Linked DNA regions of Sus scrofa. The protein of the gene in region 1 purifies or fractionates together with the protein of each later gene. This does not show direct contact. Links are inferred from orthologs where the notes say so. Each region holds a gene or a part of one and is shown in the gene's direction. Other genes may lie near its edges.

Evidence for each region.
Region 2: the proteins of PDGFRB (region 1) and FYN purify together in Homo sapiens (pull-down; 3 studies listed by IntAct, with this or other methods). This does not show direct contact. The link is inferred for Sus scrofa from reciprocal best matches to the Homo sapiens genes PDGFRB and FYN.
Region 3: the proteins of PDGFRB (region 1) and RASA1 purify together in Homo sapiens (co-immunoprecipitation; 5 studies listed by BioGRID and IntAct, with this or other methods). This does not show direct contact. The link is inferred for Sus scrofa from reciprocal best matches to the Homo sapiens genes PDGFRB and RASA1.

Annotation. Positions count from the first base shown.
Region 1 is NC_010444.4:151,161,805-151,165,449, reverse strand, and holds part of PDGFRB (platelet-derived growth factor receptor beta), read left to right. Parts: intron 1-215; coding exon 216-326; intron 327-1,399; coding exon 1,400-1,559; intron 1,560-2,451; coding exon 2,452-2,612; intron 2,613-3,136; coding exon 3,137-3,255; intron 3,256-3,491; coding exon 3,492-3,614; intron 3,615-3,645. UniProt on the Homo sapiens protein: Tyrosine-protein kinase that acts as a cell-surface receptor for homodimeric PDGFB and PDGFD and for heterodimers formed by PDGFA and PDGFB, and plays an essential role in the regulation of embryonic development, cell proliferation, survival, differentiation, chemotaxis and migration.
Region 2 is NC_010443.5:77,618,329-77,621,973, reverse strand, and holds part of FYN (tyrosine-protein kinase Fyn), read left to right. Parts: coding exon of another isoform or gene 1-39; intron 40-3,133; coding exon 3,134-3,313; intron 3,314-3,645. UniProt on the Homo sapiens protein: Non-receptor tyrosine-protein kinase that plays a role in many biological processes including regulation of cell growth and survival, cell adhesion, integrin-mediated signaling, cytoskeletal remodeling, cell motility, immune response and axon guidance.
Region 3 is NC_010444.4:94,878,036-94,882,460, forward strand, and holds the start of RASA1 (ras GTPase-activating protein 1), read left to right. Parts: upstream 1-1,579; 5' UTR 1,580-1,677; coding exon 1,678-2,195; intron 2,196-4,018; exon of another isoform or gene 4,019-4,425. UniProt on the Homo sapiens protein: Inhibitory regulator of the Ras-cyclic AMP pathway. Stimulates the GTPase of normal but not oncogenic Ras p21; this stimulation may be further increased in the presence of NCK1.

The DNA of each region.
Region 1 (3,645 bases):
CTGGGGATTCTGCTTTGGGAAATTTCTCCTCCTCTGGGGGCCTCCTCCCCTCCCCCCATCCCCCCCCCCTCTTCTGGGCGGGGATCTTGCCTCCGTGGCTGCCTGGGTCTGTATGTGGGTCAGCGCAGACCAGGGCAGAAGGGCCAGAGGCCTTGGTGGGGCCTCCACGGGCCTCGGCGACGGCCCCGGCCTGAGGCCCCCCCTCTGTCCCGCAGCCACAGCGCGCAGCAGTGAGAAGCAAGCCCTCATGTCGGAGCTGAAGATCATGAGTCATCTCGGGCCTCATCTGAACGTGGTCAACCTGCTGGGGGCCTGCACTAAAGGAGGTACCCGCCCCAGGGGATTCTGGGAGAGTGCCAGGGGCCAAAGGCCCCCCCCCCCGTCCCTGGACCCCAGGACACTCCAGCCAGAGGGCGTGCCCATCCTGTCCAGTGCCGTCGCCGCACGGAGCCTGACGGTCACAGAGTCGCGTCACCTTCCCGGCCAGAGCGCTCCTCCGGTCCCCGGCCCGAATGGTTTCTAAATCACGGAGGCCTCTGACGTGGAAACATTTCGTAATGATGTTAAAGCCTGAGATAAGGACCAGCTCATGCGACCCTGAAATGAGCGGCAGCCCCACCCCGGAGACCCCCCCAGCATGCTCCCTGGGGGCTGCTTTCATGCAGCTCGTGGAATGAGGTCTCTCCAGCGGCATGGGCAAGTTCCTGGGCCAGGGATTGAACCTGCGCCACAGAAGAGACCCGAGCCGCTGCAGCAGCAATGCTGGCTCCTTCACCCGCTGCACAGCCAGGGAACGCCCCCTGCCAGATGTTTTTATTTGAAGCTCTGATTACAAGTTAGGCCACACACACAAAAAAAAGTTATCACCATTTGCAGCTGCTTACTGCAAGATCTGGGATTTTCCTCAGTATTGCGAAACCAGAGCAGAATACAGAAGTACGCTGTGTACGTGGGCCAGTTTATGTCTGCAATAATCACACATTTCAAAATTTTTGATTCCACTAGTATCTTCAAGCTGCCACCGATGGCCTCTAAGTCCATGTGTGGTGCTTGAATTTAAACAGTGACCTGTCAATGAACAGTTGGCTTTGTTGCCTTTATGTCCTGGGCTCCTGAGTCCACGTTGTCGAAAACAGCTAACCCTGAGCTGAGCTGACAAGGCCTCATCTCCTGAAACTTCCGTGCCCCTCTTGGAGGGTGCACCTATTAAGTGGGGCGAGGAAGCCTCAGGGAGACTGGGCACCTTTGTTCCTGGTCAGGAAGAGAACCCAGCTTTGCCTGGAGCCTGCCGCACCTGCAGTCCCGCCTGCAGCCTGCCGCTGGCCTGATGGCTGTGATGGGAAACCGGAGGGCTCCGGGGCCTGTCCCTGGGCCTGTCCCTGAGCCCGTCCCTCCGCAGGTCCCATCTACATCATCACCGAGTACTGCCGCTACGGCGACCTGGTGGACTTCCTGCACCGCAACAAGCACACCTTCCTGCAGCGCTGCTCCGACAAGCGCCGGCCACCCAGCGCCGAGCTCTACAGCAACGCCCTGCCCGTCGGGCTCCCGCTGCCCAGGTACCGAGGGGGCGGCCCGGCCCGGGCGGGAGGCAGAGGCCGGGGTGGGCAGAGTCACTCCTGCAGCCGGGTTTCCCTGGGTCGCCAGCCGGCTGGGGACCTGGCCCTTGTGCACCCCGAGGAGGGGGATGGTGGCACCGGCTGCCACCTGCTGACTGTGCCAGGCCTGGTGCTGCTCCTCGACCCCTGACCCTGCCCGAGCACCCGGGGCCCCGTCCCAGGCTGACACCGGCTCCTGCACTGTCCTCCCTTGTGCAGCCTCCCCACCCGCTCCGCACACCAGCCTCTCCAGGGCCTCAGGGCACCTCACCCGATCTTCTTCTTTTCCAAAAATAACAGTTCTTCCTTCTCGTGCTCATGACAAAGGCCACACATGTTCATTCCAGAGCCGAGAGGAACTTGAGGCAGCCGCGAAGGACGCAGAGACACTGGCTTGTGTCCTCCCCCGTTTTGACTGCTTTCCTCCCAGTCCTTCCTCCCCGAAGGGACCCGTGTAGGGAGCCCTGCCACGCTCTGGGGAGCTGACCTGCGGGCAGAGGCGCGAAGGCGGTCCGTGCCCACGCGCAGGGCATCCTGGCTGGGTGGGGCTGGAGTGGCCCCGAAAAGCACCTGGGCACAGGTGGTCCTTGAGCCCTGTCCGGGGTGCCGTGCCTGCCCTGGGCACAAGTGCTCTGCGGACTCGCCCTGGGTCCTGTGTCATCTTGGCAGCCTCCATGCCCAGCTCAGGGTGGGTCTGAGGTTGTCTGGAAGGGCTTGTCACATGGGCATCCCCTTGCGACACACGGGTGTGGGGGCTCCGTACGTGAAGGAGGGAGAGGCCGAGCCGAGCAGCAGGAGCGGCAGGAGTGGGAGAGCCCGCGCCTCTCCTGCTGTGACGCCCCTCTGCCCCCAGCCACGTGGCCCTGCCCGGGGAGAGCGATGGCGGCTACATGGACATGAGCAAGGACGAGTCGGTGGACTACGTGCCCATGCTGGACATGCGGGGGGACGTCAAGTACGCCGACATCCAGCCCTCCGGCTACATGGCTCCTTATGATAACTGCGTCCCCTCGGGTGGGTGTCACGGGCTCCTCACGCCTGTGCAGGCTGCCCCCTTTCCGCAGCCTTTCCTCTGCCCAGCTGGGCAACAACAACCCGCCAGGGAGGCGGTCCGGTGCCCGTTTAATAGAGGCGGAAGCAGAGGCCATCCGCCTGCCCAAAGCCGCTGTGTGATGGAGCCCCCGTGTGAACCCCCGCTTCTGGGCCCGGCGTGGTGCGCCCGGGCTGCAGGGCGGGGAGATGGCACGGTGAGAAGCGCGCCTGGCCTTCCGGGGAGACGTGGTCTGCTCAGAGCTGGCCCCGGGCCGGTCCAGGGCCCCGAGAGCAGAGGTGGCCCGGAGCGAATTGCAGAGGCTCTTCTAGGCCGTGAGGGCTCTGAGGTGGTAGGAGGGCTGAAGTCAGACGTTGGGAAGTTGTTAGACAGTTGAAAATCCTGGACATTCAGCCTCCACGGGCCAGAGACCAGGGTCCCGCGGGCCACGGGGAGACACAGCCGATGGCCGGCGACCTGTCGGGTGACCTTCTGCTCTTGCCTGTAGCTCCTGAGAGGACCTGCCGGCCGACTCTGATCAACGAGTCCCCGGTGCTGAGCTACACGGATCTCGTGGGCTTCAGCTACCAGGTGGCCAATGGCATGGAGTTCCTGGCCTCCAAGAACGTACGTTCGGTCACCGCGAGCGGCGTGGGGTCCTGGGGGGTTCGCGCAGCCGGCCAGGGTCTCCCAAGTGCACAGCCCCGTGGGGCGGCCCTCGGGGGGTGAGGTCAACCCGTTGCCTCGCACCACGTGGCCGCTCCCACCTGAGCCACCTGTGTCCTGCCCGAAGCCCCGAAGCCCTGGACGCGTCTTTGCCCCCCACGGACCCCGAGGCTCAGCCCCGTCTCCCTCCTCCCCAGTGCGTCCACCGAGACCTGGCGGCCAGGAACGTGCTCATCTGCGAGGGCAAGCTGGTCAAGATCTGCGACTTCGGCCTGGCCCGTGACATCATGCGGGACTCCAACTACATCTCCAAAGGCAGCGTGAGTCCGCGCGGTCCGTGTGGCTGCGGCT
Region 2 (3,645 bases), on another chromosome or scaffold:
AGAAGCTGGGTCAGGGGTGTTTCGCTGAAGTGTGGCTTGGTAAGGCAGAGGGCACATTTTGTTCTGGCTGCATCTCAAAGCCAGTTAAAAGGACGGTTTTGAACCAAAACACATATACGGCCATTGGGACCAAGACACATAAACCCAGATAGCTAGGTGGGCACAGACCAGCCACCTGTATACCCTTGTGTGCTTAGTGAAGGCACACACAGAACAGGCAACCAGCACAGTAGGACCCCGGTGTTTGCTGTTCCTAAGACACGAGAAGGTAAGATTGTCTAGCAGGGCTCCTGGAGGGAAAGACCACCAGCTTTTTTGCTCAATGGCCTGGGTTTGAATCTTTCCTCGCTCATTAACCATGAACAAGGGGCTCATTAAATCTCTTTGACCCTCAGTGCCCTCATCTATAAAACTGGAATAAGACCTACTTCATGGGATTGTTGTAAGGATTACATGGGACGGTATGTTAGAGCCCTTGGCATACAGCAGGTGCTCAGTAGACACACGTACTTCTCTCAGTTTGGTTGCTGTATCACTGACACTGCCAATTGTACTGGCCCTGCACTGCTTCGCTAACACCCTGAAACATCCATCAGTAAGGTAATTTGGATGCTGATGGAATCCTCCTTCTTCCTTTCTTAGATCCAATTAAAAATAATAGAGGTTGGTACCTGTTGATTTGTGTGGGTATAGGTGCTTAGGTGTGGTCTGCATTAGAAAATGTAATATAGTTAAAGCACTTAGACTAGTAAGTGCTGCATAGAGAGAGAGACACTCAGACATACACATGTATGTATATGTGTATATGCAAGAGCAGTTATAATGGTTATTATCATTAAAATTGTTTTCAGAGTCCACATTTTTGTGCCTGTCTCTCTCTGGACTTTAACTCTCATATTGTAAAATGTGTTTATATGGCCCTTCTCTCTGTCATCCACTTGATTTATAATTAAAGTTGTGGGTCCTAAGGATTTTAATGCAGTCACTCACAAAATTAGGACAAATTAAACTGTATATGAACATTTATTTTCAAACTTTAAGATTACCATCTTTAAGTCATTACACATGCTATTAAGGTTTTGTTTCCCATTGAACATAAAGTATCATGTTGGGGTAGTTCAGGGTCAGGATGGAAGGAACACATAAGGAACTAGGCTGTTACTCGAAAGGAAAATCTCGCTCTACTTGAATTTCATTAGTGCTACACTGCTCACACAGACCCTATACAAATTGTCACATTTCCCATTTACATTTAGTGGTCAGTTTATTATTATAAGATTGGAGCGAACTCTTCTTTAAGCCCCTTATTCTTTGATAGTTTACGTTTTCGTAGGTTGCATGTTGTGGTATATGAACCATGCTTTTAACAAGGTAACAGAGTTGCTCCAGTTCACAGAATTTTTTAGTTGTAAAACCCATTATAGGAAAATATAAAAGTTAAGTTAAACCAGCCTTCTTTTCCAAAGAGAAAACATCATAATTTCACTTAGCAGATTTTTTCTGTTTCCCTGTAGACAGTTTTAATTCAAAGCCATTAGACTCATAATGGATACACATAGAATGAAGTGGGTATTTTAAATTTGGGGGCAAAAAGAAACTAAAGCTAATCCAGTTTCATTCCTGTGTTTTACAGATGAGGTAAATGATGGTGATCATAAACCAGGCTGCCTCTAAACCTTCTAGACTTTTTTTTCAAACACGTGAAATTTAAACAGTTCTGTTCCCTCTTAGCTGCTGTTTCGAAGTCATTGTTCTTGTGGCTGACCCTCAGTAAACTTGAGGAATTTTCCTTTCCTGGTTGAAGTATTGGCAAGGAGACAGTGAACTTCTTGCCAGTGCTTATCAGCACACTCAGCTCAACTTTTCAAGGACTCAGTCAAGTAGCTCATCCATGGCTAACAATTGAGAGTCTAGAGGTAACTTCTAAACATCCTCAGTGTGTTACTGTATACTTTTAAGTGGCCCACCCCATGAAGTAGAACTTAATCTGATTTCTTCCATGCTCATTCTGCTGCCTTAAGAGATGCAGCTGGATGACCAGGCCTGTTCTAACCTCTGGACGTTCATCCTTAAAAAGATACATCGGGAGTTCCCGTTGTGGCGCAGTGGTTAACGAATCCGACCAGGAACCATAAGGTTGCAGGTTCGATCCCTGCCCTTGCTCAGTGGGTTAACATCCAGCGTTGCCGTAAGCTGTGGTGTAGGTCACAGATGTGGCTGGGATCCCACATAGCTGTGGCTGTGACATAGGCCAGTGGCTCTAGCTCCAGTTTGAGCCCTAGCCTGGGAACCTCCATTTGCCTCAGGTGTGGCCCTAAAAAGACAAAAAAGACCAAAAAAAAAAAAAAGGTACATCCAGAAAGTACTGGGGACTAATGTACAGCATGATAAATATAATTAACACTTCTATATGTTATTGAAAATTGATTGGAGAGCAAATCCTGAGTTCTCATCAGAAGAAAAAATTAACTCTGTTTCTTTAATTTTGTATCTATATGAGATTATGGATTTCACTAAACCTTTTTACAGCTGAACCTGCAGCATACGGGTTCGGCTGCCAGCCTACATCACAGCCATAGCAACACTGGATCCCAGCAGCATCTGTGACCTACGCCACAGTTTGTGGCAATGCTGGATCCTTAACCCATGAGCGAGGCCAGGGTTTGAACCCATATCCTCGTGGACACTATATCAGGTTTTTAACTTCCTGAACCAAAATGGGAACTCCCACTAAACTAATGATCTATATAAATCACTTCATGATCTATATAATTCAAATCATTATGCTTTATACATAAAACATATACAGTGCTATATTATATCTCAATAAAACTGGAAGGGAAAAAAGTATCCAGAACTTTTTGATACCAATTTATAATCACATGACTGAGCCAGAAAAGGAAACAGAAAAAATTTTAAAGAATTATAAACCATGGTATAGCCATAAGTAAACACATTTTTCCTGTTGAAAATACTTGACAGAGTCCTTACATTTGATTGTCTTTGTTCAACAGAAACTATATTAAATTTTTTAAAACTTAAAATCTAACAAAGAACTATGGATTAAAAGAATTTTTTTTTCCCCTTCAAGAGAGATTCTTTGATTTGACTTCATATTATGGAATGTCCGCAGGTACCTGGAACGGAAACACAAAAGTAGCCATAAAGACTCTCAAACCAGGCACAATGTCCCCAGAATCATTCCTCGAGGAGGCACAGATCATGAAGAAGTTGAAGCATGACAAACTGGTCCAGCTCTATGCCGTGGTATCAGAGGAACCCATCTACATCGTCACCGAGTACATGAATAAAGGTTGGGCGACCTGGGCACCACCTCACAGTGACCTGCAGGGTTGTTCTGGAGGGGGGGGGATGTAGAGCTGCCTGCTGGCTTTTTTTCCGCCTTTCTCCGTAGGTCAGGCATTCTTCCCAGGAAGCGCAGTTTTGAGTCCTCACTAATGAAAACATTTCAAGAACACACTATGACCTGGAGTTCGCCCCCCAGATCCTTGTGAAACACAGCGTGTGTCAGGAGTTCTAGCTCCTCTCCACAATTAAAGAAATTCATTTTTAGTATCAGGGGTGCTACAGAGGGCTCTGAAAGTTTGCTCTTATTTGCAATGCCAGAGCTTGTGTTAAAAATTG
Region 3 (4,425 bases), about 56 Mb from region 1:
CTGGAATAAAAAAAAAGGTGAATGATTCCTCCAGTTATGTTTACATGTTCTAATATAAAAGACAGCACAAAAGCCATTGTCTGCACATATTAAGGGTGAAATTTTGGTTTATTGGTAATTCTTGAAACTATACATAATTGTAACCGACACTTTGGGACCTTCTTGACAATTGCCTGTTTAAAGTGCCTGTGTCTTCACGCCCTACTGTTAGGCACACAAACCAGGACAAAAGTGCGTTGATTACTGTTGTCTACAGCACTGCTCCTCTCCACACCTTACCAGTATCCAACAGACTTGCAATAGCACAGGCAGTGTGTCTGAAGACACATACAAACAATAGGGGGAAAGGATCGTGAAGAAAACAATGGTGTATGGTCGTAGAAATCTGGCTATTTCTACCAAAATTCTTAGCCCCCACACACGCCCCCTCCCTTATTCATTTCGTTTTGTCAGAACCTAGTTTAAAAAATTCACATTATTTTAGTTTGTAGTAGTGTTATAGTAATTTATATTATGCAAAGAAAATGAAAACACAAGCAGTACCGCCTAAGACCTTGGAAGCAGTCCGCCCCTCCAACCCCGACCCAGGCCGACCTCGGCCGTCTGGTTTCTGCGCCGCCACCAAGGGAGTTTGTTCTACCGGTCAGGAAGCAGGGAACTGGCTTCGCAGCATCTTCCTTTCCCTTTCCCCCGTCCCTCCGGTCCAACCCCTCCAGGTCTCATTTCGACTCTCCTTTTTTCACCTAGCTGAGCGGCCGCGTGCTCGCCGAGACCCACTCCTCCCCTCCTCCACCCCACCGGCCCAACAAACAAAGCCCAGGGAGGGAGGCGCACACCGACTGTAGAAAAGGCCGCGCCGCCACGCGTTACACCCGGAGCCGGACAGAGAGCGCGTCCGCGAACCGCGCGTCCCCGCCGCTTCCTTCCCTCCCGACTCTTCCTTTTCCTCCTCCAGGCCCAGCACCCCCCACCACCCCTGCACCGGGAAGGAGCCTGCGCAGAAGCTGCCCTCTCCCTCCTCCTCCCCTCGCCCCCCCGCCCTTCCTTCCCTCCGCTCCTCCTCCCTTGCCCCGCCTTCCTTTCTCTTGTCGATTTCTCCGAGCGCTCCAGGTTGGGAGCAATTCAGTTGATTTCCCCACTACCCCGCCCCCCTTCCTCTTTTCTCCCCACCCCTCCCATCTCAGCCCGGTGGAGGATGAAGCGGCTGCAGTGGCCCCAGCCCCAGCAGCGGCACCGGCGGTGGCTGCGGTGGGGGTGGCCGGAACTGGGGTGGTGAAGAAGCGGTGGTGGCGGCGGCGGCGGTGGCGGTGGCTGAAGGATCGGCAGCCGCCCCAGCCGCTTCCCCTGTGCTTCCCTTCCTCTTTAGTGCAGCCGGGAAGTTTTTCGCTTCTGTGCATGTGTGCGTGAGTGTGGGTGTGTAAGGTGAAGGTTTGGTCGGCGTTTGTGCAGGCGTTGGGTTTTTTGCCCACTTCTCTTCCCGTAACCCGGGTAGCTCCCGAGCCTGGGCTGTGGCCCGAAGAGGGGGCGCGGCGGCGGGCTCTCTCCTTTTGTTGTTGTTTCCTCCGCCTGTGGAGCTGAAGGGGGGACGCGCCTGGGTGGGGCGGCTCGGAGCCCGGGCCTGGTGGCCCCCGGGGCTCCCGGGCGAGTAGAGCAGGGCAGAGGAGAGCGGGCTTCAACATGATGGCGGCCGAGGCCGGCAGTGAGGAAGGCGGCCCGGTCACCGCCGGGGCAGCTGGAGGCGGCGCCGCCGCGGGCTCGAGTGCTTATCCGGCAGCGTGTCGGGTGAAGATACCCGCGGCCCTGCCTGTGGCAGCTGGCCCCTATTCTGGGCAGGCGGAAGCTGGAGTGGCCGGGACTCTGGGTGGAGGAGCCGCTCTGGGGTCATCGATCCTGGGACCTGGGTCTGTGGCTGGGGCACTGGCGGGAGCCGGACTGTCAGGGGGAGGTGCTGCTGCTGGCGTGGCTGGTGCTGCCGCTGCCGGACCCGGCGGGGAGATGGCTCTCACCAAGGGGACCACTTCGTTGTCTACTGAGACGTTCGGGGCAGGCGGTGGATTCCCTCCTCTGCCGCCACCTCCTCAGCTGCCCCCGTTGGGCGCAGGCCTGGGAACAGTGGACGAAGGTGACTCTCTGGATGGACCAGAATACGAGGAGGAAGAGGTGGCCATCCCGCTGACCGCTCCTCCAACTAACCAGTAAGTCAAGACCGCTGTTTTGGGGGAAGCTGGCTCGTGGAAAGAAGTGAGAAAACCTGCCTCGTTCCTGCAGCTGTGACTCGTTGTGAAAAGTTTTGAAGCTTAAGGTTCCGTGCGTAGGGATTTAATTTGATCACTCATCTTCCCTACAGGCACACTCCCTGGCGTCTTTGTATATTTATTGCTCCTCTGGGAAGATGTAAATTTTTAAATATGGGAAGCATGGGAAAGTGTAGATCCAGTGACAACCAGATAAGGTTCTGCCCCTTCCAAATTGAGGTGCCGTCCTGGGATTCAGCTGAGCTTGCAGATACCCAGGCGGTCCTTGTCCGTATTAACCCGGGTTAGATGATTAGTAAGAAGCTTTACAAGTATTTGAATGAGTATTGTACTAGTATCATTTGAGACATGCATTGGTCAGAATGCTTTGTTTTCGTTGCGCTGCAAATCGCAAGGCTTAATGATGGAGAAGTCTTTGGATCACTTTTGAGAGCCTGGGTCAGCGAGAAAAGAAGGGGGTTCTGTGAAGTATACGTGTGGTTAGGGGCCCATACTCTGCAATATCTGTAATTTATGTTGTAGAATTCCCATTTATGGATATTAGTGTAATTCTTTTATAGTTGAAACCTAAGTAGAATGTTGGAGCAAATCAAAATAGTGTGCTTCTCTTCAACAGTTTTTGTTGGTGGCCAATGCAGTATTCTATTTGAAAATTAATTTTGACAGTCTACAGCAGAATATATAGGAAGTGACTCTTCCGTATGTAGTACCTCCACCTTGTTCTCTTCATAGGTATGTATAGGTGGACCTTGATGAGAGGAAAATGTTGATGGGGAAGTGCTAATAGTAGGCAAAACTTGTTTTATAGGTCCCTCATATCTGTCTTAATTGACCTTTAGAATTTTGACAACTTGGTGAGTATCAGAGGAAAAAAGATTTGGTTCCTATGTTGACAAACACTCTGTACAGTTGAAAGTTTTTGTTTGCTTTTTGGAAAAGCTTCTTTGGAAGATTTAGAAAGGGCTCAATGAATTAGGACTTTTCAGACTTTAAGCTACATCTTTTGATGGAAAAGTAAAGTTAGTGCTATTTATGACAGCGGTGGTATGGGGTTGTTATATTCCTTTTAATATTGTTCATTTTGAGTTCAGTTTTTTTGGTCTGATTTTATTCCAGCTTTATGTATTGCAGACTTTTTTGAAGGTGTTCTGAGAGTGTTAAAAATTTAAATTACAGCATTGTTTTTACACCTTTAAGACTTTTTGGAAAATCACTTAGATATTAAGGGCCCTGTGGTTATGATAATGTACAACTTTTCATAATAAAAGAGTATATAGTCTTTTGGCATTTCCTAAGTTGAATTAGGCATATTTAGTTTATTGCAGTTCTAAATCCTTTAAATACAGAATTTATTTTGTAGAGCAATTTTAGATTCACAGCAAAATTGAGCAGAAAATGCATTTTTCCCATTAACTTTTTTAATAATAAACATGAATGAGTGCATAGGAAAAAATATGTTTGTAAGAAGTCTCGTGAGATTTTCATCATATTATATGTATTTAGAAATAAAAATATTATTTGTATAGTTATGTATATGAGAATTGTTCATGTTCTAAAAAAGTATCCTCCATTTCTAGTATGTTTCTTAAATTTGCCACTGAGAAGTACAAATTTCCCTTTTTTCTTTATCTTAGATATCAACCCAGAGTCTCTGGAGGCAATACAGTGTAGTGGTTAAGCGTGCAAATTCTGAAGTTAGACAAGATTTGGGTTGGAATCCTGACTCTGCTACTTACTAACTGTGTGATCTTGGAAAGGTCAGTTGCCCCATCTGTAAAATGGGGATAATAATGGTATCTCCCTCAAATGGTCGTTTTTTAAGGTTAATGAGAACCCCCTGAACATATTCAGCACAGTACCTGGCACATTGTAAGTGTTGAGTAAATTAATAGTCTCCTAAAATAACAGTATAATTTTATTGTCATTGATTGCCTACTAGTTCTGTTGGTATAGGAACTCCCTTATTAATGGCTCTTTTAGAGAATGTTTTGAACTCCAAAGGCCTGTCTACTATGATTAATTATGTTAAAATTTTTATTTTAACTTCATAAAGCCTTCCAGCAGGTTAAGCAGGTTTAGAGATGAAATTCAAGTGTTTCCTATAAATTCTTATTTTAAATAAAAGGAAAAGCCTAAATGACTTGGTTAAATAATGTCAAATCTTTAAGAA